4 linked regions of the Arabidopsis thaliana genome follow. The protein of the gene in region 4 interacts with the protein of the main gene of each other region in a pairwise test. Each region holds a gene or a part of one and is shown on either strand. Other genes may lie near its edges. The genes, in order: MORF3, AT5G12190, CDSP32 and MYBR1.

The links.
Region 1: the proteins of MYBR1 (region 4) and MORF3 interact in binary tests that used the Arabidopsis thaliana proteins (3 or more experiments, as listed by UniProt).
Region 2: the proteins of MYBR1 (region 4) and AT5G12190 interact in binary tests that used the Arabidopsis thaliana proteins (3 or more experiments, as listed by UniProt).
Region 3: the proteins of MYBR1 (region 4) and CDSP32 interact in binary tests that used the Arabidopsis thaliana proteins (3 or more experiments, as listed by UniProt).

The regions. Positions count from the first base shown.
Region 1 is NC_003074.8:2,142,546-2,148,842, forward strand, and holds MORF3 (plastid developmental protein DAG), read right to left. Parts: upstream 3,263-6,297; 5' UTR 3,199-3,262; coding exon 2,819-3,198; coding exon of another isoform or gene 2,815-2,818; intron 2,720-2,814; coding exon 2,622-2,719; intron 2,368-2,621; coding exon 2,302-2,367; intron 2,210-2,301; coding exon 2,019-2,209; 3' UTR 1,839-2,018; downstream 1-1,838. Other genes in the region: AT3G06780 (glycine-rich protein), read left to right, coding at 1,089-1,694; IBR3 (acyl-CoA dehydrogenase-like protein), read left to right, coding at 3,989-4,123, 4,212-4,346, 4,559-4,699, 4,812-4,943, 5,059-5,244, 5,325-5,402, 5,492-5,611, 5,727-5,825 and 2 more. UniProt on the Arabidopsis thaliana protein: Involved in organellar RNA editing. Required for the processing of RNA editing sites in mitochondria.
Region 2 is NC_003076.8:3,938,679-3,944,260, forward strand, and holds AT5G12190 (RNA-binding (RRM/RBD/RNP motifs) family protein), read right to left. Parts: upstream 2,759-5,582; 5' UTR 2,428-2,758; coding exon 2,053-2,427; 3' UTR 1,803-2,052; downstream 1-1,802. Other genes in the region: CPK17 (calcium-dependent protein kinase 17), read left to right, coding at 1-109, 221-348, 450-645; PYD2 (pyrimidine 2), read right to left, coding at 3,022-3,216, 3,320-3,476, 3,587-3,639, 3,714-3,754, 3,843-3,930, 4,039-4,117, 4,198-4,285, 4,476-4,596 and 3 more. UniProt on the Arabidopsis thaliana protein: May be necessary for the splicing of pre-mRNA.
Region 3 is NC_003070.9:28,544,876-28,551,095, forward strand, and holds CDSP32 (chloroplastic drought-induced stress protein of 32 kD), read right to left. Parts: upstream 4,712-6,220; 5' UTR 4,474-4,711; coding exon 3,975-4,473; intron 3,598-3,974; coding exon 3,188-3,597; 3' UTR 2,911-3,187; downstream 1-2,910. Other genes in the region: AT1G76065 (LYR family of Fe/S cluster biogenesis protein), read right to left, coding at 24-163, 329-431; AT1G76070 (uncharacterized protein), read left to right, coding at 1,742-2,560; SMT3 (sterol methyltransferase 3), read right to left, coding at 5,717-6,220. UniProt on the Arabidopsis thaliana protein: Probable thiol-disulfide oxidoreductase involved in resistance to oxidative stress. May participate in the reduction of alkyl hydroperoxides derived from oxidative stress by acting as a physiological electron donor to the BAS1 peroxiredoxin.
Region 4 is NC_003076.8:26,849,792-26,856,506, reverse strand, and holds MYBR1 (myb domain protein r1), read right to left. Parts: upstream 2,486-6,715; 5' UTR 2,399-2,485; coding exon 1,481-2,398; 3' UTR 1,195-1,480; coding exon of another isoform or gene 589-1,194; 3' UTR 501-588; downstream 1-500. Other genes in the region: CYP81G1 (cytochrome P450, family 81, subfamily G, polypeptide 1), read left to right, coding at 1-500, 589-1,194. UniProt on the Arabidopsis thaliana protein: Transcription factor. Represses the expression of protein phosphatases 2C in response to abscisic acid (ABA). Confers resistance to abiotic stresses dependent of ABA. In response to auxin, activates the transcription of the auxin-responsive gene IAA19.

The sequences.
Region 1 (6,297 bases), on a different chromosome or scaffold from region 4:
TGGACATAAGCTAAGTATGTATGTACCAAATGTATTACATGCGCGTTGATCTATAAGGAAAAACTCAAAAACACTTTAGTACTTTAAATTATGTCATGGAAATTAATATTTGAACTACAAAGTTTTACTTGTAATTGACTTCTTGTAACGAAGCCAAGCAAATTTCAGTAATATATTCGAAACCTAATTCATTCATTACTGCTCAAAATCAGTATTAAGTCAAACATAGCGGTTGTAATTGGTCACCCGAAAGTAATAATCACATGGGAATGCTAACGTCTAGATTATCAATAAAAAATGTCAATTACTTCCTGAACTTTTATTTCTGAAACATATTTAACGAATGTATGAAAAAACAAAGTTTGGAAGCTCTTAAAGTCTGAAAAAACAAATGTCAGTGAGCACGTGAGATTTGTCATAAAAATTGTCGATGATGAATCTGCAGAAGGATTAGGTTATGGACCGACGATAAATGTTTAGCCATTTATGCTATAAATTTTACTTCATTTTTTTTTTGGTGTGAATTTCAGAGAAGGCATACCAAACAACCTCGTAAGAACATTTAAACATATGAAATGCCATCGATTTCTTTCTAAGAAATCACATATAATTTAAATCGACGTTGTTATAATCTCTCGATTTACTCCATGTAGAAAAATTTCCTTGAGAAATGATCACATGAACAAGCACATCTTCTGCTCCCACAATATTGCTTTTTTGACACATATTTCCTTATATTTATGAATAGAACCCGTATATTTTCAGAAATGTGATACGAAAACTCTTCAATGAATTATATAGCCCAACCCATAACTTTGGGCTTTCACGTATTAATGGACCCTTCTTGCGTGCGACTCACGTGTGAATACTGCAAGACACGTGGCTTCTCTATTCAACGCGCAAATCAGTTACGTGTACAATTTATCCGCCTCCTTCGGATCCGAATCAGCTTCCTGATTTATTTCCCGTCATTACCCAAATTCGCCGGCAATGTTGTAAAAATCCCTAATCCAAAACTATTTCGTGGATTTTAGGGAAAAAAGAGAATTCGAACAAGGTCGTCGTCGTCGTCGGATTTGTAGATCATCATGGAGTTCTCTTTGATCGCAGATACAGTCACAGTTTGCACGGCTAAGCAAGGTATCGCGTTTGGGAAATCTCTTCTTCAAAGGTTGGATTTGGCCAATCACATTTCTTTCGCCGATTCCGTTGTTGATCATCAATCTCCCGGTGGAGGAATCGTTCAAGCATCGGCGATTATTTTCCCCGTCGATGCAATTGCTCCTCCACCGGTCAGATCTAGCTCTTATAAGACAATTCGCCGGATCCGTAAAAAGCGACGAACCAGGCGAGTTTCGTTTGGTGGAGATGGAGATGACGCAGGAGATTTTGGTCGTTTTCTGTTAGAAGGTGATTTCGGTGGTAGCGACGGTCCATTTGGATTTGGAGGCGGAGGAAACGATGGAGGCGGAAAGGGATGGAACTACGGCGGCGGCGGCGGTGGTTTCGGGAGGGATAATTGGGATGGGTCTTCGTTTTCGTCTTGGTCAGATCCAGCGATGGAATTTGTGTATGAAGTGATTTGCTGGATCGCGTTGTCTAATTGTGTGCACTTTGCGTTCAAGAGGATAGTGAGGATCGTGACCGACGGTGAAAGGGAGAAGTTGAACATTGCATTATCTCCGGTATGCTGACAAATTCGTGGTCGTGGTGATGATTCCTGGTTAAAAGTATTCTTAATCTCGGTTCCAATTACATCATATGATCTCTCGTGTGTATATATATTACATTGTACATATTTATTTAATTTCTCCTTCGCAAGTTCACATTAGATTTTTATAATTTGTTCTGTTTAGAGTAGTGTTTAGTCATCATTAGAGACATGAATGATGATTGATTTGTTTGATTAAGTGGATAAAAACTGAAAAGTCTCTCACATGAGTGTTTAAGACAAGCATGTAAATACCATAATCCTAATAAACTCCATCCATTACATAATGCATTGTTCATGTTTAATATTAAGCACTGGGCTTGTTGAACTCTCCCGGATTTACTGGAGAATGAAGACCCATGGATGGCTCTCTCCTCTCAACCTGCATTGTCTCACGGCGCCTATCATACCTTGGCCTAGGACGGGGTCTAGTATGACGCTGTTCCGTGAACCTGTACTGTGGTCTGGGTATGACCTTTCCTTCAACGTACAAGTCACCTGAACATGAGAGCCAAAGACAGATGGTATCAGTATTAAGAACCATATCTCAGTACCCAATCATTCAGACAAAATCTACAAACGTTACACACCTCCGTAGTCTTTGTTTGGTACATCGAGATAGGAATCCGGCAGCACCCAGAGAACACCAGGCAATGCTAATGAATCACACAACTCTAGATCAGATTTCTCAAACAGTAAAATATGTTCTCATTTTATAGTACTAGAGACAGACAATAACTGCGATAAAACAAAGATCAAGAGAAGTTTCCTCCTAGCTGTTGAACAGAGCAGTACCAAACAGAGAAAGCCTTTTACGATAAATCTCAACATCATAAGTAAACAACTAGAAAAGCTATGTCAGAGCAAAAAAGGCTTAAAAACCTAATTGCAAATATGGAGAAGTTGATACCTTTGACTTTGCAAGAGAGCTCTTCAGAGATCAAAGCACCAAAGCCAGTGTAGGTCGAAGTACAAACAGAGTAAATCTTCTTCTTGGCCTCTTCCTCACTATAGTTTAACCATTATTACCCACAAAATGCAAATCCGTCAATCCCCAAATGCACAAGAAAACATTTGAGAGTCAAAATCAAATGAAAAGGAACTTGCCAGCCAAGGACGGAAGTTAAGGTTTTGACATAAGAATTGATCATCTCTTCTTCAGTAGGTTTAGGATCAGTGAACTCCATGACGATGAGCCAGTGCTCATAATCGCACCCATCAAGAAGAATCGTCTCCTTCGGCGGACGGTTGCTCCAATTCGGCGAAGGATCATTCAGCGGCGAGTATCCGGACCCGGATGTCTTGGGTCGGGTCGAGATGTAACACGGGCCCAGGCTGGTTCGGGAAGAGGAAACCTTTTCAATTAGAGGCATGGCGAATCGAGAACGAGAAGAGAGCGTAGGAAATGAAGAAGAATATGAAGTAGAGGAAGAGAGGGTTTTGTTTAGGAGTGTCGATAATGTTCGCCGTGTGCTGATAAGAGCCATCGCCGGTGAGGGTTTCGGCTTCTGTTCTTCTTCGGTCCTTCTCTTTGCAGAAGCTTTGAGAAACTATATGGGCTTAGTGGGCCTTTGATTTATACTTTTTAGATGGGCTATTAAAAAATTTCTCTACATTAAATTCCTTAGTTTAGTAGTTAAAAGTTTCCCAACAGAAAAATACTTTAAATCTTCTTGTCAAATACTTCAACACTCCTAATTGAAACACTTTCAGTGTTAAAAAAATGTTTCAATTATCGCTTGTCAAATTGTTTGTTCATTCTTAAGTGTTTTCAGAAAGAAAATTTCGTCCTCGTTAGCTATAAAACGTATTCATTTTGTATTAGCTTTCTTAATGTGAATATGACGTCCTAAGTCAAATCACCTAATCTAAAATTTTGATTTGAGTTAGCAAAATGTCCATCAAGTTAATTCATGGATAACTTTTCCAACCTATATATGGTTAGTAATTAGTAATTATCTTTGGCTTTTTTTGGATGCATATAAAATCACAATGACGATAATAACGATGATTATCAAAATCAAAATGGTTACTGTATTTACTATTTATAAAAAAAGAAAACATAGAATTATCTCTCCAAAAATAAGAAAAGTAGATAAACATTTCTGAAATTGCTGTAAGGTCAAAAGTAAAAAGAAAATTATCCAAAAGAAAGGTTATGCGACTTTCCGTAAATGGAATTGTTGGTATGAATGCGTGTATTTGTGTTTTAGAGAGCTATTCTTGTTGATGAATCTCTGAGGAGCAGAGCGAGATAGAGGAGAGTGAAGGAACATCATGGGAAGCAGCACGGGCGATCTTGTGACACGTATCCAATCAGCTCACCGTTTCGATCACGATGCCTTGTTTCGTTTTGCCGCCGACAACGTCTCTGGCTTTCCGACCAACCCTTCCCAATTCAAAGTCTCACAGGTATGTTTTCCAATCGCCGAGGTTTTTTCTCCGGTAAGAAAGAAACTTTTATCTGACTGTGTTTTGTTTTGGTTTGGTTTACATACAGTTCGGACATGGGCAGTCGAATCCAACGTTTCTGATAGAGGTTGGCTCAGGGAGTTCCTTGAAACGATACGTTTTGAGGAAGAAGCCTCCTGGCAAGCTTCTTCAATCTGCTCATGCTGTTGATCGAGAGTTTCAGGTATCAATCAATTAATAATCTTTACCTCTGTAAAATTCATTGTAACTGTTCATACTCGATTTTTGAAGAAGATGAAATTTTGTTGTTTCTAGTACCGTTTTGAAATGCAGAATCATTGTAACTTTTTGTGATGCTGCTTATAAGAGATACGGTATCAACTAAAGGTAGATGCTTTTTTTGCTTAATACTTTGATGGTGGTTGGTTTATGTAGGTGCTTCGGGCTTTAGGTGAACATACACAGGTTCCTGTTCCTAAAGTCTTCTGCTTATGCACTGACCCTGCTGTCATTGGGACTGCTTTTTACATTATGGAGTTTATGGAAGGACGTATTTTCATTGATCCAAAGTTGCCGGTAAGATATTCTCTGTTATGTGAATGTGTATGTACGGTTTTTTTAGCTTGAGATGTGACTCATTGTAAACGAAAGGTGTAAATTTGTGTGTGTTTCATCGGTTTTGATTTAGAATGTAGCACCTGAAAGGAGAAATGCGATCTATCGTGCAACCGCCAAAGCCTTGGCATCTCTTCACTCTGCTGATGTGGATGCCATTGGTCTTGAGAAATATGGTCGGCGAGGCAATTACTGCAAAAGACAGGTTTGTTCTTTATTTGGGGCTGGTGAATTTCCAAATCACTACTCACTAGTTTGATGTTCTCTTAATGCTTATATGCTCTTGCTAAAGTTTTTTCTTTTGGATACCTCCATTTCAGATAGATAGGTGGTTCAAACAATATTTGGCTTCAACAAGTGAAGGTAAACCTGAAAGGAATCCAAAGATGTTTGAGCTTGTTGATTGGTTACGCAAAAACATCCCCGCGGAAGATTCAACTGGAGCAACATCAGGCCTTGTCCATGGAGACTTTCGCATTGACAATCTCGTTTTTCATCCTTCTGAGGTCTTAATACTTTCAAGATCTTTTGTTTTCTGATCCTTGGATAGTCTCGGAGACTTAACTGAAAATATCTTAAACTGTAGGATCGAGTTATTGGAATAATTGACTGGGAATTGTCCACGCTTGGGAACCAAATGTGTGATGTTGCATACAGCTGCATGGTAATAACCTATTCTTGTTTGTTGTATTGTACTCATAAAGCAGTTTTCTTTGCTTCCTGCTCTGATATACAGTTCATTTGTGTTGGCAGCATTACATTGTGAATGTTCAGCTCGATAAGGAGCATGTTAGTGAAGGTTTTGAAACTACTGGGCTTCCAGAAGGAATGCTTTCGATGCCAGAATTTCTCTTAGAATACTGTTCTGCATCGGTATTGTCCTGCAACAACATGTAGTCTTTAAAAGGAATCAAGTCAGGTGTTCCTTGTACATTGCCTATATTTTCTCAATTTCTGTTGTAGTGACATATTGGCAAATGAACTTTAGGGAAAACCATGGCCTGCTGCAAACTGGAAGTTCTACGTAGCGTTCTCCTTATTTCGGGCTGCTTCAATCTACACAGGGGTGTACAGTAGATGGTTAATGGTATTCCCCGGGCATATTTTTGAATTCTAAGATTCTTTATTATGCAGTTGTAGAGCCATTGACATTGTGTTGATCATGCAGGGGAATGCTTCTGCCGGTGAAAGAGCGCGAAATACAGGGGTTCAAGCTAATGAGCTTGTAGAGTCTGCCTTGGGTTATATTGCACGTGAAAATGTTCTTCCAGAACACCCTCCATCTGGTAATCGACCTCTTTGAGATTCAAGTTTGTTAAGGATAACTGTTTATTTTACATTTCTTATATATGGATGCAGTTCAAAGAGACGTGTCTCCGTCGTATGAAAGCCTTGTGGATGGAAGCGGGAGATTCATCCCCAACAGAAAAGTATTGGAGTTAAGGCAGAAGTTGATCAAGTTTATGGAAACTCATATCTACCCAATGGAAAACGAGTTCTCCAAACTTGCTCAATCAGATATGCGATGGACCGTTCACCCTCAGGAGGAAAAGTTAAAG
Region 2 (5,582 bases), about 23 Mb from region 4:
TATGGATACTGATAGTAGTGGAACAATTACACTCGAGGAGTTAAGACAAGGACTTGCTAAGCAAGGTACAAGGTTGTCAGAATATGAAGTTCAGCAGTTAATGGAAGCTGTGAGTCCTTCTTGTACTTGCAAGAGATTTAGCTTTAGTCAAATGCCGAGCAACAGAGTAGGGAGGGGACTCACCACTAATTTTGTGTTTTTTTGCTCTGTGTATCTACAGGCTGATGCTGATGGTAATGGAACAATAGACTATGGCGAGTTTATCGCAGCCACAATGCATATCAACAGACTTGACAGAGAAGAACATCTTTACTCAGCCTTCCAACACTTTGACAAAGACAACAGTGGGTAAGTACTTGACAGTACAGTTTGTTATATAACTGATTCCAGACTTTAATCATGAATATGAAGCTTATGAAACAAAAATCCACCTCGCTCTCTGTTCCCAGATATATCACAATGGAAGAGCTAGAGCAAGCCCTACGGGAGTTTGGCATGAATGATGGCAGAGACATTAAGGAGATCATTTCCGAGGTTGATGGAGACAATGATGGTCGGATAAACTATGATGAATTTGTGGCAATGATGAGAAAAGGAAACCCGGATCCAATCCCAAAGAAGCGGCGTGAACTTTCATTCAAATGAACACAATTGTTGAAGTAGAGGAAGAGAGGAGATAGAAAGAGAGTTACACACAGGGGTCGAGAAACTCATCTTCCTTTCAAAATGAGAAATAAGGCAAAGCAAATATCAAAGAAAATTATTCTAAAGTGGAGGAGATCTTTAAGGGAGGAGAAGGCTCAAGAAGGAAAACAAAATCATTTGGGGCATTTGGGGGGAGGTGTTTGATATAATGTACATTTTCTTTTCTAGTTGTCTACTACTGCTTAAAGTGCCATGGGTTTCTCAATGTACTTCAAAAAAAAAAAAAAAAACTTTTTCAATTCTCTTGTATGTGTTAGTGATTATTCGTTCTCATTTCCTAGCAAAACAGTGAGCACCACTTTGGAAAAGAATCGTAGCTAAAGACAATATATATCAATTTATTGTTCAAAAGTTCTGCTTAAGAACTCGATTCATTAGAGAGAAAGATCAAATGAAGAGCAAAGCCAGAAAGAGTCATAGAAAAATGGAATTCAGACTACCAAAAAAATGAAGGATAAATTAGTTATACCTTGATGTTTGGCTGCAGTGCGAAAATAATTCCATCTTCCACATAAACATCAGCAAGTGCATTCAATATAGTACCCCTCATTTGATCAAAATCCAACTGGTTGACACACCACACCATACTCTCTCCCTGCATCATAAAACTGTAAACAAAAAGATGCTCAACTCTGATTCCAAACAACGACCAACTGCTTGTCAGAGGAAGAGATCATGGGGTTGAAGTTTAAAGGTATGGACACTGATAGCAGTGGAACAATTACACTCGAGGAGTTAAGACAGGGACTTACTAAGCAAAGGTACAAGGTTGTCAGAAAATGAAGTCAGCAGTTAACGGAAGCTATGAGTACTTCTTGTACTTGCAAGAGTTTCAACGCCGAGCAGCAAGGAGACTAACACTATTTTCTGTTTTTCTTTATTTTGTTCGGCTCTGCGAATCATACAGGTCGAGGCTGATGGTAATGGAACAATATAGACAATGGAACGTTTATCGCAACCACAATGCATATTAACAGACTTGAAAGGGGATTTGGGAGAGCTGTTGAATTATGTATATTTTCTCAATGTACTTAAGTTCTTCTTTTTCAATTCTCTTGTATGTGTTAGTGATTTTTCGTTCTTACTTAGTTCCTAGCAAAACACTGAACACCAATCTCGGAAAATTGCATCAAAGCACAAAAAAAATTGTCACAGCAATAGCTAATTTGGGATTAAAAGATGTATTTTTCATTGCTTGGTCGATGTAAATGACAAAAGAGCAAACCTTACATAAAGAACTCCACTAAATTCATACAGATAAAAGAAAGTTTCACATCTCCCAGAATTTCAAAACCCTAAATTGCAGCAGTAACAGAACGACCATAAGAAGATCGAATTCAAGGACAATTACTTATCTTTGGTAGAGACTCCATACTTCTCCTGCAACTTGGTGATCTCATCTTCACTCTTCTTCTGGTCAAACTTCTTGCTCATCTTCGCGTGCTGGTAGTATAACACGATTAGGTACCGATTCGCGACGTTGAAGCCAGAGAGATGGTCGACGGCGTTCTTGGCATCGTAGATATCCTCGTAAACGACGAAGGCAGTACCTTTCGTCGCCTTGTCGCAACCGATTCGAATCTGGCGAATTGCGCCGTACTTGCCGAAGATATCGTACATCTCTTCGCTCGTTATGTTAAAGGGAAGGTTACGAACGTAGAGCACGCGATTCACCTCCGGTGGGAGTCTGGTGTTACTCTTGCGAAGACTGATTGTTGTCATAGCTTCTCTTCTTCTTCTTTTCCTTCCTTTATTAGCCGGTGATTTGTTATCGCCGCCGTGAAAAAAGTTCTTCTATCGGAAAATGAAAGTTAATAGTTCTGATTACGATTGATGCGATGCGAGTATTTATAGGGTGGAAGAATTAAAGGGTATAATCGTCTTTCCGAATGCAGGCTTGGGGGATTTTGATTGACGATTTTATGTAAACCATTAAAACCAAAAGTAATTTACCAAACCGATATCTATTTCTGGTTTGATGGCAAAAACCTGAACGCCTTTCAGTGTTGATCAACCTACTAAAAAAGCAGCCTTATATACCTGTGCGGCCTCCAGCTCAAAAGCTTGATTATTGGAAACAGTAATGTTTAAACTAAGAAGCTTTTCGCATGTCTCCTCTTTTTCTTCTAATACACACAGGATTTGAGATAAAGAGAACATAGACTAATTAACTCACGGATAAATTTTACAATCTTTTATTTTTTCTCAAAACCAGACTACATGCACATTATTCATAATCGCTCTTTCAATACTTTTAATACAAATTATGTACAATTGTTCTTACAGAATCACGATATGCAGATAGATACCTGCACTTTACGTAGCTTCAGTTCTGACACGCTTAACTGGAGCTCGAAGAGAAGATAGATAATTAGCATCTGATTTCTCAATACCATCGAAAAGGTAACTGAAAGGAGGCATCTCTATATACTTGCCACTTCTTGGAACAACTTTAAGTTCCTCGTTTTCCCACACAATTCGTCCTCCTGCTATTGTCACTTCAACTTTTCCCTGAGATTTAACAATCAAGTCCCCAATAAAATAAAAGGTTATGATTGCTCAGAGATTATACAAATCAGTAAAGACGAATTGTTTGTAAAAAGGGTATCATTACCTTTCCTCTTCTGCCCTCGTAGACGTTTGTGTCTGATCTTGAATGATGAGACTTTGAGCTAATCTCGTAGCTTGAGTTTGGATTCAATATGATAATATCTGCATCCGAGCCAGCAAGGATAGCTCCTTTCCGTGGATATATGTTGAAAATTCTAGCACTGACAAACTTAAAGTCATTTCAAATGCAAACACATAACTTTCAAGTAAAAGCTCATTGGAAAAAGCAAATTTTCAACATTAAAAAGAAGCTTCGAAAGAGCATATATACCACTCAGTGCTGGTTATTCGAACATAATCAGTAGCTGAGAGTTGGCCAGACTCCTGGATTAGGATATACAGAAAACGATTAAAACTTCTGTACAGAAAGAAGAATTTATTATTCCACAAGTACTTACCACCATCGTGTCCCATATCAAGTGCATCCGTTCCTCAAGGCCTAAACATATGGACAAGTTCAAAAGTATTTACAGGTTAGCAGGGGCAGTGAGCAGAGAAAGCAAGAAACCAGTCAAGTCAGCTATTACCATTAACACCATTAGGTATTCTGCGGAAATCATCAAGTCCTAGAGCTTTTTGTGTAGAATTGAAAGTGCAGTGATCAGTTCCTACAAGCTGCAGAGATTATCCCAATAAAAGGAGAAAAAGGTGTTTAGAAGATCTTAACATTTTGATGCTACAGGTCATGCAATTCTCTAGTTTATGCACAGCGAGGAAAGAAACCTGAAGGATTCCTGTGGAAAGGGCATCTTGTAGGGCTTTCCCATGTCCTACTGGTCTGATAGGTGGACTCATGACATACCTGAAATATTGAGAAAAACTTTGAAAATCTGAAAGAATAAATGGGAATCATTTGATTAACAGAACTGAAGGATTTATTACTTGGACGCAATTGTGAAGTCAGGATCCCAAAGCCAATGATCATCAAGGATTAATCCAGACACAACAGGCTCTCCAATAACCTTCTGTCCTGAAATACATAACAAAAAAACTTTTCATATTTATTAAGCCAAATACTAAGTAAAAATTTGAAAGGTACTTTTCTACACATATGTTATTGCACTAGTGGATGTTCGGATAGGAGATTGATTTCTAACAGGATAATGTCCATACAATGAGAAAAGCAAAAGGTTAGTCCTACATGAGTTGTAACAGAAAACCTGATTTTCGAGCTTTAGCAATCTCGTCCATTGCATCAACACTCATCACATGAACAACATAGAGAGGCGTGTTAATAAAACGAGCCAAACGAATTGCTCTAGCAGTGGCCTCTCCCTCGAGCTGACATTGTCAAACAAGGATCTTGTTTTAGTAGCTTCAACAAAGCTTTACAGAGGCAAGAGCAGATATAGGAGAAAAGAAAAAATCTAGGAGGCAGTATAATAAAATGGAAAATGCTTGACGCAAATTACCACAGGAGGCCTTGAAAGAGCATGACCCTCTGGACCTGTAATGCCCAGTTCAATCATTCTTTTCTGTCCTTCGAATACTGCATCTCCATTTTCAGCATGAACCATGGCCAAGGCACCGAGGGATTTGCATCTTTTAAGTCCTTCTAGGAGTAGGTCATCAGTTACCATAAGAGATCCTTTATACGCTAGGAAAAACTTGAAAGAGTTGATACCTACAAAATTTAGAGATATATGCACTCAGTTTCATCTTAGCAGGGAAACTAAAGGGATAGAAACACCAAAACTGTGAGGCATCAATGTGTCACAAGACAAGACATTTACCCTTTTCCTTGACCAACATCTCCATGTCCCTGGAAACACCTTCATCCCACTTTGTGATTGCCATATGAAAACCGTAATCCATACAAGATTCTCTAGATTTGTTTTCATAGGCTTCAAAACCAGCCACCAGATTCCCATTGACAGGTATAACAAAGTCTATATGCATAGTTGTTCCACCAGCTAATGCCGCTGCCTGACCACTGAAGAAATCATCAATAGTCTCGGTACCCATAAATTCCATGGCGAGGTGCGTGTGGGGGTCAATTCCTCCTATTTACATCAGGGACAAGAGTAAGATGAAAATGCTAACCATTCTTAATTAGAACTGAAACTAGTTAAGGATTCAAAACAAAAGGCTAAAATTTTGGAAAGTATCAACTAGTATGAATTGATTAACCTGGCATGACAAACTTTCCAGTAGCATCGAGGACAGTGACTTCATCCCCAACCTGTTTACATAAAAACAAACAGATCAAACTTGGAATTTAGATTCTCACAAAAGATGAAGGACAGATTACAAGGGAATAGTTAGAC
Region 3 (6,220 bases), on a different chromosome or scaffold from region 4:
AGAAGAAGTACAAAAAAAAAATGTTAATGGCCCTGCATATCCAACATCTCATCAAGTCCTTTGATTCTCTCTAAACCTTCACTAATCAGATACCGAATCTTTTGTTTGTCATTGCAGTCTCTGTTCTTTTCCATCTCTTGCCTAACAGTCTGTTTCAGTTCCCCTACAAAACATCAACACATAAAATCAAACAAAGTTTATCCTCCGAAATCTACTAAACCCCTAGATTTCGAGATTTTTAATCAAATGGATGTACGGTGAACGCAAATTTATTGTCTATGTGACGAATCTCATAGATAGAAAAATAAGAGACATGAAAGACACGAACCTCTAACATGAACAGGAGCTCTGTGAGCTATCTTCAATGCTTGTCGGTAAAGTTTAAGCACTCGAGCCCGGAGAATAAAGCTCTGCAGATCTAATTGAACCATAATTTATCAACCAACCGTTGAATTAAGAATTTACGGCCAGAGAAGGATCGATTCAGAAAGAACTGAAATCAAAATCGAAATCTAGGGTAAGAGAGAAGTTCCTGACTCTGAGTCCTGAGTTAAAAGAAAAAAGATCGGAGAAGGAAAGAGTCACGTGAGAAGGACATGATGAAGAATTAATGAAAATATGTGGTTTAAGTGTAAACCGGTAATCGGTGTTAATTGAAATCAAATTATAGTTTACCAACCATCTTTAATAACAGTTCTGTTTTAGATGGTCCTAATTACGGAAGCCCATCCGAACCATCGTGGTTTAACTTACAGCAAACAGATACCAAAATTAATTAGGTAGCTTTGAATAAATATTAGGTGGTTTAGCATCGTGTTTCCATAATATGATTTTCTCAGTGTACAGCTTCGCAATTTCTCAATTGTTTTTGGTCCATTTTCGTTTATTTAAAATCGTTTACTAGAGTTGTTCGTCCCTTGGTTGACTAATATTCTACCTTTTTTTTTTAATTTCTTTGAAGCACGAAATTGTAAACACAAGATATCAATAATTTAGACAAGGTCTCAGTAATTTAATATAGACTACGTAGGATTTAAAATATAGTTTCGATAATTAAAAGACAATCATTTACCAAAACGTGTTACTGAATGATTTGTGTTAATATTATTATCAGAATTCAAACATGCAAGTATATGAAGAAGAAGTATGTTTATCGATTGAAATACATTGTATTTTTTTTCTCTCTCTTAGGTGTTTCAATTACAGAACTTTAAATGCTAATTAACAAAAAAGTAAAATTTCATAAAGCTCCAACTAGTTCAATGCATCGTTGATAAGTTCTAACTTCTACCTTCCTTCCGATATGGCTGAATTTTGCTTGCATGTAGGTCCCAAATATCACCACCGTTTCTTAAAGAAATGTTATACTATTTTGATTTTTGGACTATTGAGGCACAAACTAAAGTCAAATTAGTAATTAACTAATCATCATCTTTGGAAAATAAAAAAATGTGCCGTTTAGCTTTTAGGTAGTAGTAACAAAAAGAAGAAACTTGAAACAAAAACAAACATGTCTTCCGCATTTTGATTTTATAAAGTCGGCCGTATAAACACAAAGGTCTTTCTTCTTCCTTTTTAGCTCTCACATTTGACCAAAACTCCTCCAATCCAGGCATCATCGTTGACTTTTTCAAACTCATTTCCTCTCTTTTTCCTTCTTCTCACATCATATTAGACCCAAACATAAAAAGAACGAAGAATCCTCTGTTCTTGTCTGCGAATTTTGCTGTTGTGATCAGCGATGGACATTAAGCATCATACTTCAACTTCAAAACCTAAGAACAAGAACAAGCTTTTGAAGATGCTTCCTAAAGCGATGTCGTTTGGACATCGAGTTCCACCGTTTAGTCCCGGAAGAGATCTCCACCACAACAACCACCATAATTACACGGCGGCTAACAAAATGTTTTTCTCTGGTCCTATGGTTCCTTTGGTACCTAACGCGGCTCGGGTTAGAAGAAACAAAAGCGACGCTGTTTGGGACGAACCTACTTCACCTAAAGTCTCTTGTATCGGTCAGATCAAGCTTGGTAAGTCTAAATGCCCAACCGGTAAAAAGAACAAAGCACCTTCATCTCTGATTCCTAAAATCTCCAAAACGTCAACGTCGTCTTTAACAAAAGAAGATGAAAAAGGTCGTCTTTCGAAGATCAAGAGTATCTTCTCGTTCTCGCCGGCGAGTGGACGAAACACATCAAGAAAATCCCATCCTACCGCCGTCTCCGCCGCGGATGAACATCCAGTTACGGTGGTTTCCACCGCGGCGGTGCCTTCGTTAGGTCAGATGAAGAAATTCGCTAGCAGTCGTGATGCTTTAGGTGATTTTGATTGGGCGGTTGAGATGAAACATGAAGAAGAATCACCCGCTGATCATCACCGTGGTTACTATTCTGACGACGACACCAGAGGAGCTTACTTGAGATACGATGATGACGAGGATGAAGATGACATAATAATCCCTTTTTCAGCTCCTTTAGGGTTAAAACCAAAGAAAGAAGTTAACTTGTGGAAGAGAAGAACCATGGATCCACCAAAACCACTTCATCTTCAAACCATTTGATTAAATTTCTTTCTTTCAGTATACTATATCAATTACTGCAGTTCAAATTGTATAATGATCATCATTCACAATGAGTCTGGATTTTCTTGTTTTGTGTATATATGTGATATATTGTGATGATGGATGATGATCGTTCACTTCAATAGTCTTTTGTGAATATCAATTTTGCTCCGTCCAAAAAAAAAAAAAAAAAACTCTTTCTCGCTACATATTTACAGTTACAATTACAAATTAGTTTTTGTATTTCCTTCTGTGACAGAGAGTATGACAACAACCAATGTCTTTCCACCACCAAATTGTCCATATATTAAATGTAAATCACAATCAACCATTAATATCACATACAAAATGATGATAATGTGTATATATTTATTGGGAATAATACAATATCTTCATTGGGTAGGTACAAATCATTAACATCTCATTCTTCCTTACGGAAATATTCAAATCCGTCAAAGTTTCCGTGCCTTCAAAGTTAGAACACAAAAGCAAAATCAAATAATCAAGAATCACACTATTTTGAGTTTTTTTTCTTTCATATCAACCGGTTTCGGATGGTACAGACAAAGACCAAAAACTCATTCTTTTTTGAAGTGAGATGTAATAAAATTAAAGTTTTGATACAAATTAATAAGTGACACGAACGCCTGAGTACCGAAGAATCTCTCCAATGAGTTCTCCTTTACCGGAACCAACATAACGGCCACGAATCTCGCCGTCTCTAATGAACAAGAAAGTTGGAACTTCGATAACATTCATGTCCTTGAGAAACTCCATACAACTATCGTTCTCGTCACCGTTCATTCTAGCGAATACGACTGTCTCGGACATTGACCGGGACAGTTTCAGCACGGTCGGATACACTTTAACGCAAGGACCACAATGTTTTAGACCAACGTCAAGCACGATCAGCTTGCCTCCAGTGCGATTCTCGTCGATCAGCTTTTCCACGTCAGGTCGGCCGTGCAGCTGCACCACCGCAGAGTGGTTGTCTCCGTAGTATAGAACGTCTCCCATTAACTGGTCCGGTTCAATACCTGTCGATGGTCAAACTTTTCAATTTAGTTACGTCTTTGCCACTACATTACTTTACTAATTTACTAGGTGACTTATTATGCTTCATATACTTTTAAATGGTTAGTGTTACAACATCAAAATAACAATATTATGTACCTAAAGAAATAATCATCGTACATCGTAATCAGCTAATAAACGTGTGTCCAAAAATCTGCTAAAATCTAGGTGATTTTGAGAGATTCTGTTAAAAGTTTCCTTACTTAGAGAAATTTGTTCAACAAATTAGGGGCATTATCGGTTAAGTAAAGTCTAATTCCAATATGTTTTATTTACTTTCTAGATTAAATCGAGTTCTCTTTTTAATGAGAAAAGAAATTAGAGATAATTCGGAAATTACCTTCTTCCTCGTGTATTTTCTCCATGCTCTTATAAAAGCTAAAGTGAGGAACTTTCTCAATCTTCTCTCTCCGACAGAGTTCTCTGGTCTTGTCAGATTCATCACCCATGACGAGCAAGAAAACGACGTCGTTACAGGTCCTGCTCAGTTCCACCATAAACGGATATATCTTATTACTCTGATCACTCTTACTCGTAGCAAACTCTGCAACCACGAGTTTGCTCTTCGCATTTTTCAACGCTACGTCGAATTCCTCTCCGCTGTGAATCTTTTGTACCTTCTCGTCATTCGCCGGTGGTGTACCCACCTTTCCCGGAGACGCCGCTCCAGCCTTTATTTTCACGGCGGAGAATAATCTTTTCGGGAGGTTTTTCCTCCGGAACAGAGGATTAGTTTTATGGTTAAAGAATACGAAGGAGGAGGTCGAAGCAACGGCGGAGGATGGCCGTGGGACTACGGTGGAGATTGGTTTGGCTAAGAAGTTAGCGACGGTGGCCATTGTTTGTGGTAGTGTGTGTGGGATTGGTTAGAGATCAGTGAATGATTTAATGTGGATAGATGTTTTAAAATGGGTCCAAGACTTTTATGTCCACTTGTTTAACTTGTGTGGATTGTGTTCACTGTTGATTAGATTTTTTTCGTGGGAATATAAAAGGAATATGTGAACTTGGTGAGATTGCTGTTTCTAAAAGCAATTCAAGTTTATTTTGTTCAAGTTGTTGTCATTCTGGAAAATTCCACCAGCATCCAAGTAAGACTAATTGAACCGGTTGGATAAATTCGACATTGTGGTTTCTTTTCCATCTGGTAAGCGGAAAATGTATCGGCCAAAAGAAAACAAAAGATTGCGTCAGCTCTCATAGTTTGGACAATTTTCTCAGCTTCGACCCAAATTGTCCATTGACTTACACATGTATACGCGTATTATTGTTGATGTCACGTACGAATATAAGCATATATCCACTCCCGGTGGAACTGGAAGTGAGGTAAACCAATAAAAATTGGCCTTAAGCCCATCATTATAAAAGCCCACTATAGAAATGACCCAGTGTTTTAGTAAACTTTTACACACAAATGACACAATCTTTTTAGTAATGCACAAAACAAATTGGAAAAAAAAAAACTAAATAACTAAATAAAATATCGTTTTCTAAGGTAAGCCGGAGTTCGTGCGACCACGCTGCTACCCACTACCGCAATGCGACAAACCATAAGCCTAAAATAAATCAAAATCAAATCTTTAAAAGATACATAGATTAATATATCAGACAGTTGACGACAATAACATATGCATATCGGACAGCCCACAAAATCCCACACGACCACTCCCGACTCACTACTACAGACACAATGTGACACCTAAGGACTTACCAAACTACCCTCATTGATGATACTAAAAGTTTATGCAACTCTATAGACGTGCTAATCCGGTTTATTCCGAGTTTGATCTTAGAAATTAAAACTAAACAGAGACTTGTAAACTCTACAAAATTTTAAAAAGGTAAAGGATCACTCCAATAGAATTTCCCGGCTAATTCTTTCAGAAACTATTTAAGAAGAGCGAAAAACTAATTTCCAGTGATCCATCATCAATTTAAACAAATCAAATTGAAAAAAAAAAATACAATAAACAACAAAGTGATAACATTAATACGACGACAAAGAGATTCTTAAGGGGCAAAACATGAACTTAGAAAGAAAGAAGAAGAAAAACGAGAACAAGGAAGAAGATTCTCAATCATTCATTCAGAAGCTTTCTCTGGTTTTCTACAGAGAATCATATGCATCGGAGAGAAGATTCCAGTCTCACCACCTCTGGTCAAATAATCAGCAGTCTTAAACAACATCTTATGAACATCAACAGTTCCTTTAGGAGCAACCCCAATAGCAGAAAGAATCACAACCACAACATGGTTTCTCCAATAAGCAATCCTTCCCATCTTTAACCGGTTCCACCACGGTTTAGACGGTGGTTTAGCCAAATCTTTCTCCTTCACTACCTCAAACCCAACTTTCTTCGCCGTCACGGCTATATCAGCGTAGCTTCTTAGTCCAGGAAGTGCGTCTCCTCTCTCGATCCCTTGAATCACGTCCTTGTGTTCTTCGTCATCGTCTCTGTATTTTTCAGTGGTGACCCATTCGTAGGACACGAACAAAGATCCTGGTTTCATCACTCTGAAGATCTCCGAGTATACTTCTTCGAGCTTAGGAGCGTGACACGTAGCTTCGATCGAGTAAGCTCCGTC
Region 4 (6,715 bases):
GCCGTTTCTGCGCCGTAGATATCTTGTCCACCGCTCGTCTCAGAGACTTTTCGGATATACGGAGAGACGAAGTGAGAGCTATGATTCGGAAGATCAACGTGGAACTGGTAACATCAGGAGGCAGTGTCAGATTGAAACTCCAGCCGTTTCTTTATGGGCTTACGTATAACATCCTAATGAGCATGGTCGCTGGAAAACGAGAGGAAGACGAGGAAACTAAGGAAGTTCGGAAGCTGATTAGGGAGGTGTTCGATTTCGCTGGTGTTAATTATGTCGGAGATTTTCTCCCGACTCTGAAGCTCTTTGATCTTGATGGATACAGAAAGAGAGCAAAGAAACTCGCTTCGAAATTGGACAAGTTTATGCAGAAATTAGTCGACGAGCATCGGAAAAACAGAGGAAAAGCAGAGCTTGAGAAAACGATGATCACTCGTTTGCTGTCTCTTCAAGAATCAGAACCTGAATGTTACACTGATGATATCATCAAAGGGCTCGTACAGGTACATGAGTTTTTAATTCCTATAATTTTGAATCGTTAATAGGAGTGATCAAGATTGATTCATCAAAGATTCAAAGGATTCATTGCAGGTGATGTTGCTTGCTGGAACGGACACAACCGCAGTGACGTTGGAGTGGGCTATGGCTAACCTTCTAAATCATCCGGAAGTTTTAAGGAAACTCAAAACGGAACTAAACGAGGTTTCGAAAGAAGGGCGTGTGTTTGAGGAATCAGATACTGGCAAGTGTCCCTATCTCAACAATGTGATCTCTGAGACTCTTCGTTTGTTTCCGGCGGCGCCCTTACTTGTCCCACACGCTTCATCCACTGACTGTGAAGTCGCTGGATTTGACATTCCACGTCGCACCTGGCTATTTATCAATGCGTGGGCTATTCAGAGAGACCCAAATGTATGGGATGACCCAGAAACTTTCAAACCAGAGAGGTTTGAATCAGAGACCCATCGTGGTAAGTTTCTGCCTTTCGGAATCGGTAGGAGAGCATGTCCTGGTATGGGCCTGGCCCAACTAGTACTGAGCTTAGCTTTAGGCTCATTGATCCAGTGTTTCGATTGGGAGAGAGACAATGACGTTGCCGTTGACATGTCGGAAGGAAAGGGTCTTACCATGCCCAAATCTGTGCCTTTAGTTGCCAAATGCAAGTCTTTACCAATCCTCGACAAACTTGTTCTTTAACTGGATCATTTATCTTTCACTTTGTGATACTTTGTGTATTAATTTGATCTATTATCATCATTAAGCGTAGTTATAAATAAAAATTTATTTTATTTTCCTGAATAGCTTAAGAGAAATTTGATCTTCGTCTTCGTCACTACGTCCCCAGCTCTCGAGCTTTGTTCACTCGATTTCCTCTATACATTTCCTTAAAACCCAAAATTCTTAAGCCTAATCCAAAGGAGAAAAAAACAGAGCATTTTTCTTCTTCTCCAATTTAAACAGTTTCCTAATAATCTCACTTTGTCTACTCGATTCTCCCAACTCCAATTTGACTCATCGGAATCATGCCATTATCAATGAATCCTCCGACGAATCCGCCACCATTGTTCCGTTGCATCTCCGTCATGTAACTCCTCACTTCCGCCTTAATCATCTCTTGCACCACCGCCATAAACTCGCCTCCGTTACCGGGAAAAGACTTCCCCATTTCCTCAATCGCACCTCTAAACCCACCACTAAACGGCATAAACGACACCGTATTGTTGTGGTTGTGGCGGCTCGAAGTGGTGTTGTTGATATTCGTTGACTCGTGGCTACGGTTTGACTCCTCGCTTACGTCGGCACCAGGAAGTGACAAGCTTAACGAAGTCGGTGGATCATCGGAAGAAGACGACGTTTCGATAGGAAGCGGTAGCACAACAGCACCAGGTCTAGGCACAGGCTTGAAAAGCTCAACGGAAGGTAATATCGGGATAGTACTTGAATCACTGACATCAGATCCAGTTGGGCTTCCTGGGCTCATGTAAAGCCCAGTAACAACAGGTGGAGATCCCGCACTCACCGATCTCTTAACCGGCCGATGATCCTCCGAACCATCGTAACCCCGATGGTCGTAACCGCCGCATTTCCTCTTGAGCGTCGAGTTCCAGTGATTCTTCACGGCGTTGTCCGTACGACCGTTGAGAAGACGAGCAATCGTCGCCCATTTATTACCGAACTGAGCGTGAGCACGTGCGATCGTCTCGTCTTCCTCAGCCGAAAACGGCCGATGCTCAACTTGCGGCGAAAGCTGGTTGCACCACCGTAAACGACACGATTTCCCCGATCTACCGGGAATAGATTTGCTAATCACTGTCCAGTTTCTTGGACCGTATTTAACAACAAGCCTACGAAGCTGCTCGTCTTCTTCAGGACTCCATGGACCTTTGATCCTATCAGCCATTGATTTTGGAATGTTTTATCAAACTTTAGCAATCTTCTCCTCTTTAGTGATTTTGGTTTTGAGAGATGAACCAAAAACAAGTTCGAGAAACTAAAGAGAGGACAAAATTATTTATACAGAGATTTAAGAGAGGAGGATAACCGGAAACCGGTTAAGACGGTGGAGAAGTCATGGGCAACGCTTCTTCCACGCAAGCGGTTTTTCAAAGTTTGCGGTACAGCTGTAAGTGGACACGCGTCGAAGCCTGACTACGTCGATGTGTCTTTTTTGTCGTTTTCGTAATAATTTTGTTCAAGATCAGCAATTTCGTATAGTTGAGCGTGGAGATCAGTCGAGTCTCAAAGTATGAGTTTGTGAGTACACGCGCCATTTAAGCGCGTGGCGAAAGTAAGAAGTTAAAGAGACAAAATCACGAAACCCAACTAGCAAAGCCATGATAATATTCGCACAATTTGAGGTGAATTTAAATTTTTTTATAGGGGAAATAAAAATGAAAAAGAAATATCTGAAGAAAAAAATAAAAAGATGATAACGGTTAGGTTTGGGTAAGGACAGTTTTTATTTATTTTTATGTTTAGTCTTGACTTTAGAATAGCGAAGCCAGGCTGTATAGCACTTCACATAAAAACTTTATGATAATATCTACTTTACATATAACCGATTTTCCGGGTTGAAAACTAATCAAAATTATTGACCACAAATTTCATTACTAATAAAGAAAACAAATTGTCACTAAGAAGGTATAATTAATTACTAAACAACACACAAACACCTAATTCATGCATATAACAGTGCATGACAAATTGACAATACTAAATCTATATATAGTTGCTCTATGATCATAAAAAGATCTAAACCTCAATAATTTGAAACGAAGCTGGATTAAAATGGGATTGACAAAGAACCGTGTGAGCGATATTAAGTGAATGTATAAAAATGGTTAGATATTAATGTTCGGTTTAGGAAACGTGATGTAAAATGTGCGGTTAACAAAAGATAGGAGGTTTTGACGTGGCAGAAAACGACAACATAGGTTGCCGAATTGGAACGCAAAATCATCACTGCCTTTGTTTCCTGAAATATATTTAATTATTATATCGAAAATACGAATAGAAACAGCCAGGCTGTATAAAACTTGTTAATCAAACAAAAACAATTAATAAAACACTAACTGTCATCCATTTAAGAACTGCCACGTGTCGGTCGTAAAACGCGGGTTTTTAAAAGCTCTTTGTTCTGGTATGTACGGTACGAATCAGGTCGGTAAACGTCAGGTAATGTTCATGCACGCTCCCTAACCTTCCCTCTAACGGTTCATAATTCTCCTTTTAATTAAACTATAGTATTGTTAGTTCTTAATAATTCAAGTTTTTACGTAACCCCACCAAACATTTGAATTTATACCTTTTGAGTTATATATCTACATTTTTGTCGATTTGTTGATAATCTATTAGACATCAGGAGTTTAATACTTTGAGTGAATTTGATAATTAATAATGCCAAGAGGTTATTGTGATGGGAACAATAAGCTCTAGATGTAACCTTGCGTAGTTATTATATTGGGTTTACGTGTTCGTTTGTGAGACTCAACTATACTACTATAACCTTGCTCGTTGTTTCTATTATCAATGGTCCGAGTGTCGGTTTTGGTCTCCTTGTTTTAAATATTTTATTGAAGTCGTTTTACAATTACCAACTTTTCCTTAAACCAAAAAATAGATCAATAATGGTTTTGATTGATGATATTGATGGTTGATTGACGGTGTCTTACTCACTCGAAGATTAGACAATTACCAAAACGATTTTATTCGTAGTCCACCAAAAAAACAAATCAACTGTGATCATTTTTCATATCTATTATAAATGACTACTATAGTATGACATTTTGAAAACATTTGTAACGAATAATCATCACAACATATAGTAAACTGAAAATATAACATGCAACAATCTAAAGAAAAAACCTAAAATACACAACGTACAGCCTCAATTATTGAAAATATTTTGTTTTCTGGTATGATAAATTTTGTGATTGAAACGACCACCGAGAAGTTCATATGAACATAGAAAACATTAAAGAAAACACCGTCCATATATTATTTTATTTAAGACACACCGTCCAAGATTACAACTGTATATTTTTGGACCAAAAAATCATTGCCCCTCTTGTGGAAAAGAGATAGTGGTGCAGAAAAAAAGGCACGTGGAACATGACCTAATTCGGCTAAATACAGTTTTAAAATTCAAAAACTTACGATAACCGGACAAAGATTTAACAGCTGTTTTCCAGTATGTCCACGTGTCCATGAATTATCCTTCCACGTGTAAGTTTGAGTGACGTGTCATGCTAATTATTCTTAACAAAGGCAAAACTACTCTTGTCTTGTTCCTCCTGTCGTGTAAGCTAGCAACTGTAATTTTGCTATTGGTCTACTAACGTGTTTAGATATTCTTCCACTTGCATTACCTTTTCTTTTTATTCGACATTATAGAATGTATTAATTGTTAACGGTTTAGGGAAACTACTTAATTATATGGTTTACAAACAAAAAAAAAACATAATGGTGTCAACAAAAAAAATCACAAAGGCAATAAATTAAAGAAAACAGGTGCATGTGGTTCGTTTACTTAGTTGCATAGAATAGAAAGATGCTGCTACAAAATATCCTTCCGTGTTCTCGCTTATCCTTAAGCCGTATGCACATTTTGTACCTTCACCTTCCACACGTGTGCATGTATATATCCACACGCACTACAAATCTGCATTAATGGTACGGTCATCGTTGAAACGACTACGTTCGGTGACCTTCGTGCTTAAGATAAATTTTGTTGGTCTTCTGATGTATATGCTTAAGCCACACACACCTAACACCTTCACTAAAGCTTGATTGAAAAGCGATTCTTTGTTGGACGACAAATAAAAAGTTACTCTTTTCTTCTTCTTTTTGTATGTGTGGAATCAAAACGTTTAATTTTTGTACCTACCAAGTACTATTTCATCTTATATGTTAGAACTTACCGATTTGTTGGATTTTTTAGAATTCTGATATCATATGATATTTCCAAAAAAACTTATTTAAAGATTTGCTTTATTTCGTCTTCAAATCTGAAATTTATCGTCAACTTTGTAAATCAAATGTTAAAAAATTTCAAATGTAGAATTGGGATATTAAAAACTTGATCATTTTGATAATATCTATATACTATAACTCTATAAGATAATGCATGGAATCACGTTTTACGACCAAGCATCATAAGAGTCATGAACGGGCAAAAGCGAGGGCAATATAAAGCTAGAAACAAAAGGACAGATTACTACATGAAAGTGTGTGAAGCTTTTTCCCCACATTGGCCGCCGGCTTTTTTTGACTTAATTAATATTAACAATACTCTCTACACTGTTTTTTCTGTCAATAATAGTAGTATATGATAAATATTCTTTTCAAAACAATACTTCTCATGTGGAGAAAATATCGACCACATCATCAACTTTCATGAACAATGATCAATGGATCGACCATCACACTTGCTAAATAAGAAAGGCATAAGAAGATTATGTTGCAAATTATTAATTGAAACTCTTGGATCGATAAATATTCCATCGGATTTGAACATGAAGATAATGTGTGAACGATTACATTTTAGGTTTTCACCTTTTTAGAGTGCAGTAAATGTGTGATTAAATAGAAATTTGCTTCACTAAAACCAAAAAAGTAAGTACAATTCTATAAACAGTTCATTATTTTATATATATTTTTATAGAATTGCAGAAACTTTCCGTATAGTAAACAAGTTCAATGAACACAAAGAATGAAAGAAGCTTCTGTTTAAGTAGAGGAATAAAATGATTATAAACAGAGCGAAATTATATGTAATATTATAAGAAAAAGTTTCGGCGGGTCTATCTAACTGAAAGTTAACAACATCACAGTACCTACTAAAAATATATTGAATAATAATCATTAGGAGTGTATGTGTGGTTGATGAAAGGCCGAAGTAGAGCCGCCCTATAAATGGGCTTTTGTCGTCAAAGTGGTGGAGCCCAATTTTGGAATGGCCTATCTGATTGTTAGTTGGTCATTTGTCCTTTTCCCCCATAATTTATTTCAACAAGTCCTTTTCAACTTCTTAAAACATCTAGAATCAGAAAACTATTCATTGAAATTCATACAGAGAATATCAGTTATCACTTATCAGCTACTAAATATCATAGGAAACACAGTAACACACAATAGCGTAGAGATTATACAATAAATGGGCTTCAAAAGATCAGCCCAAAAAGAAACTAAGCCCAATAAATAATTTCTAACTAACGTG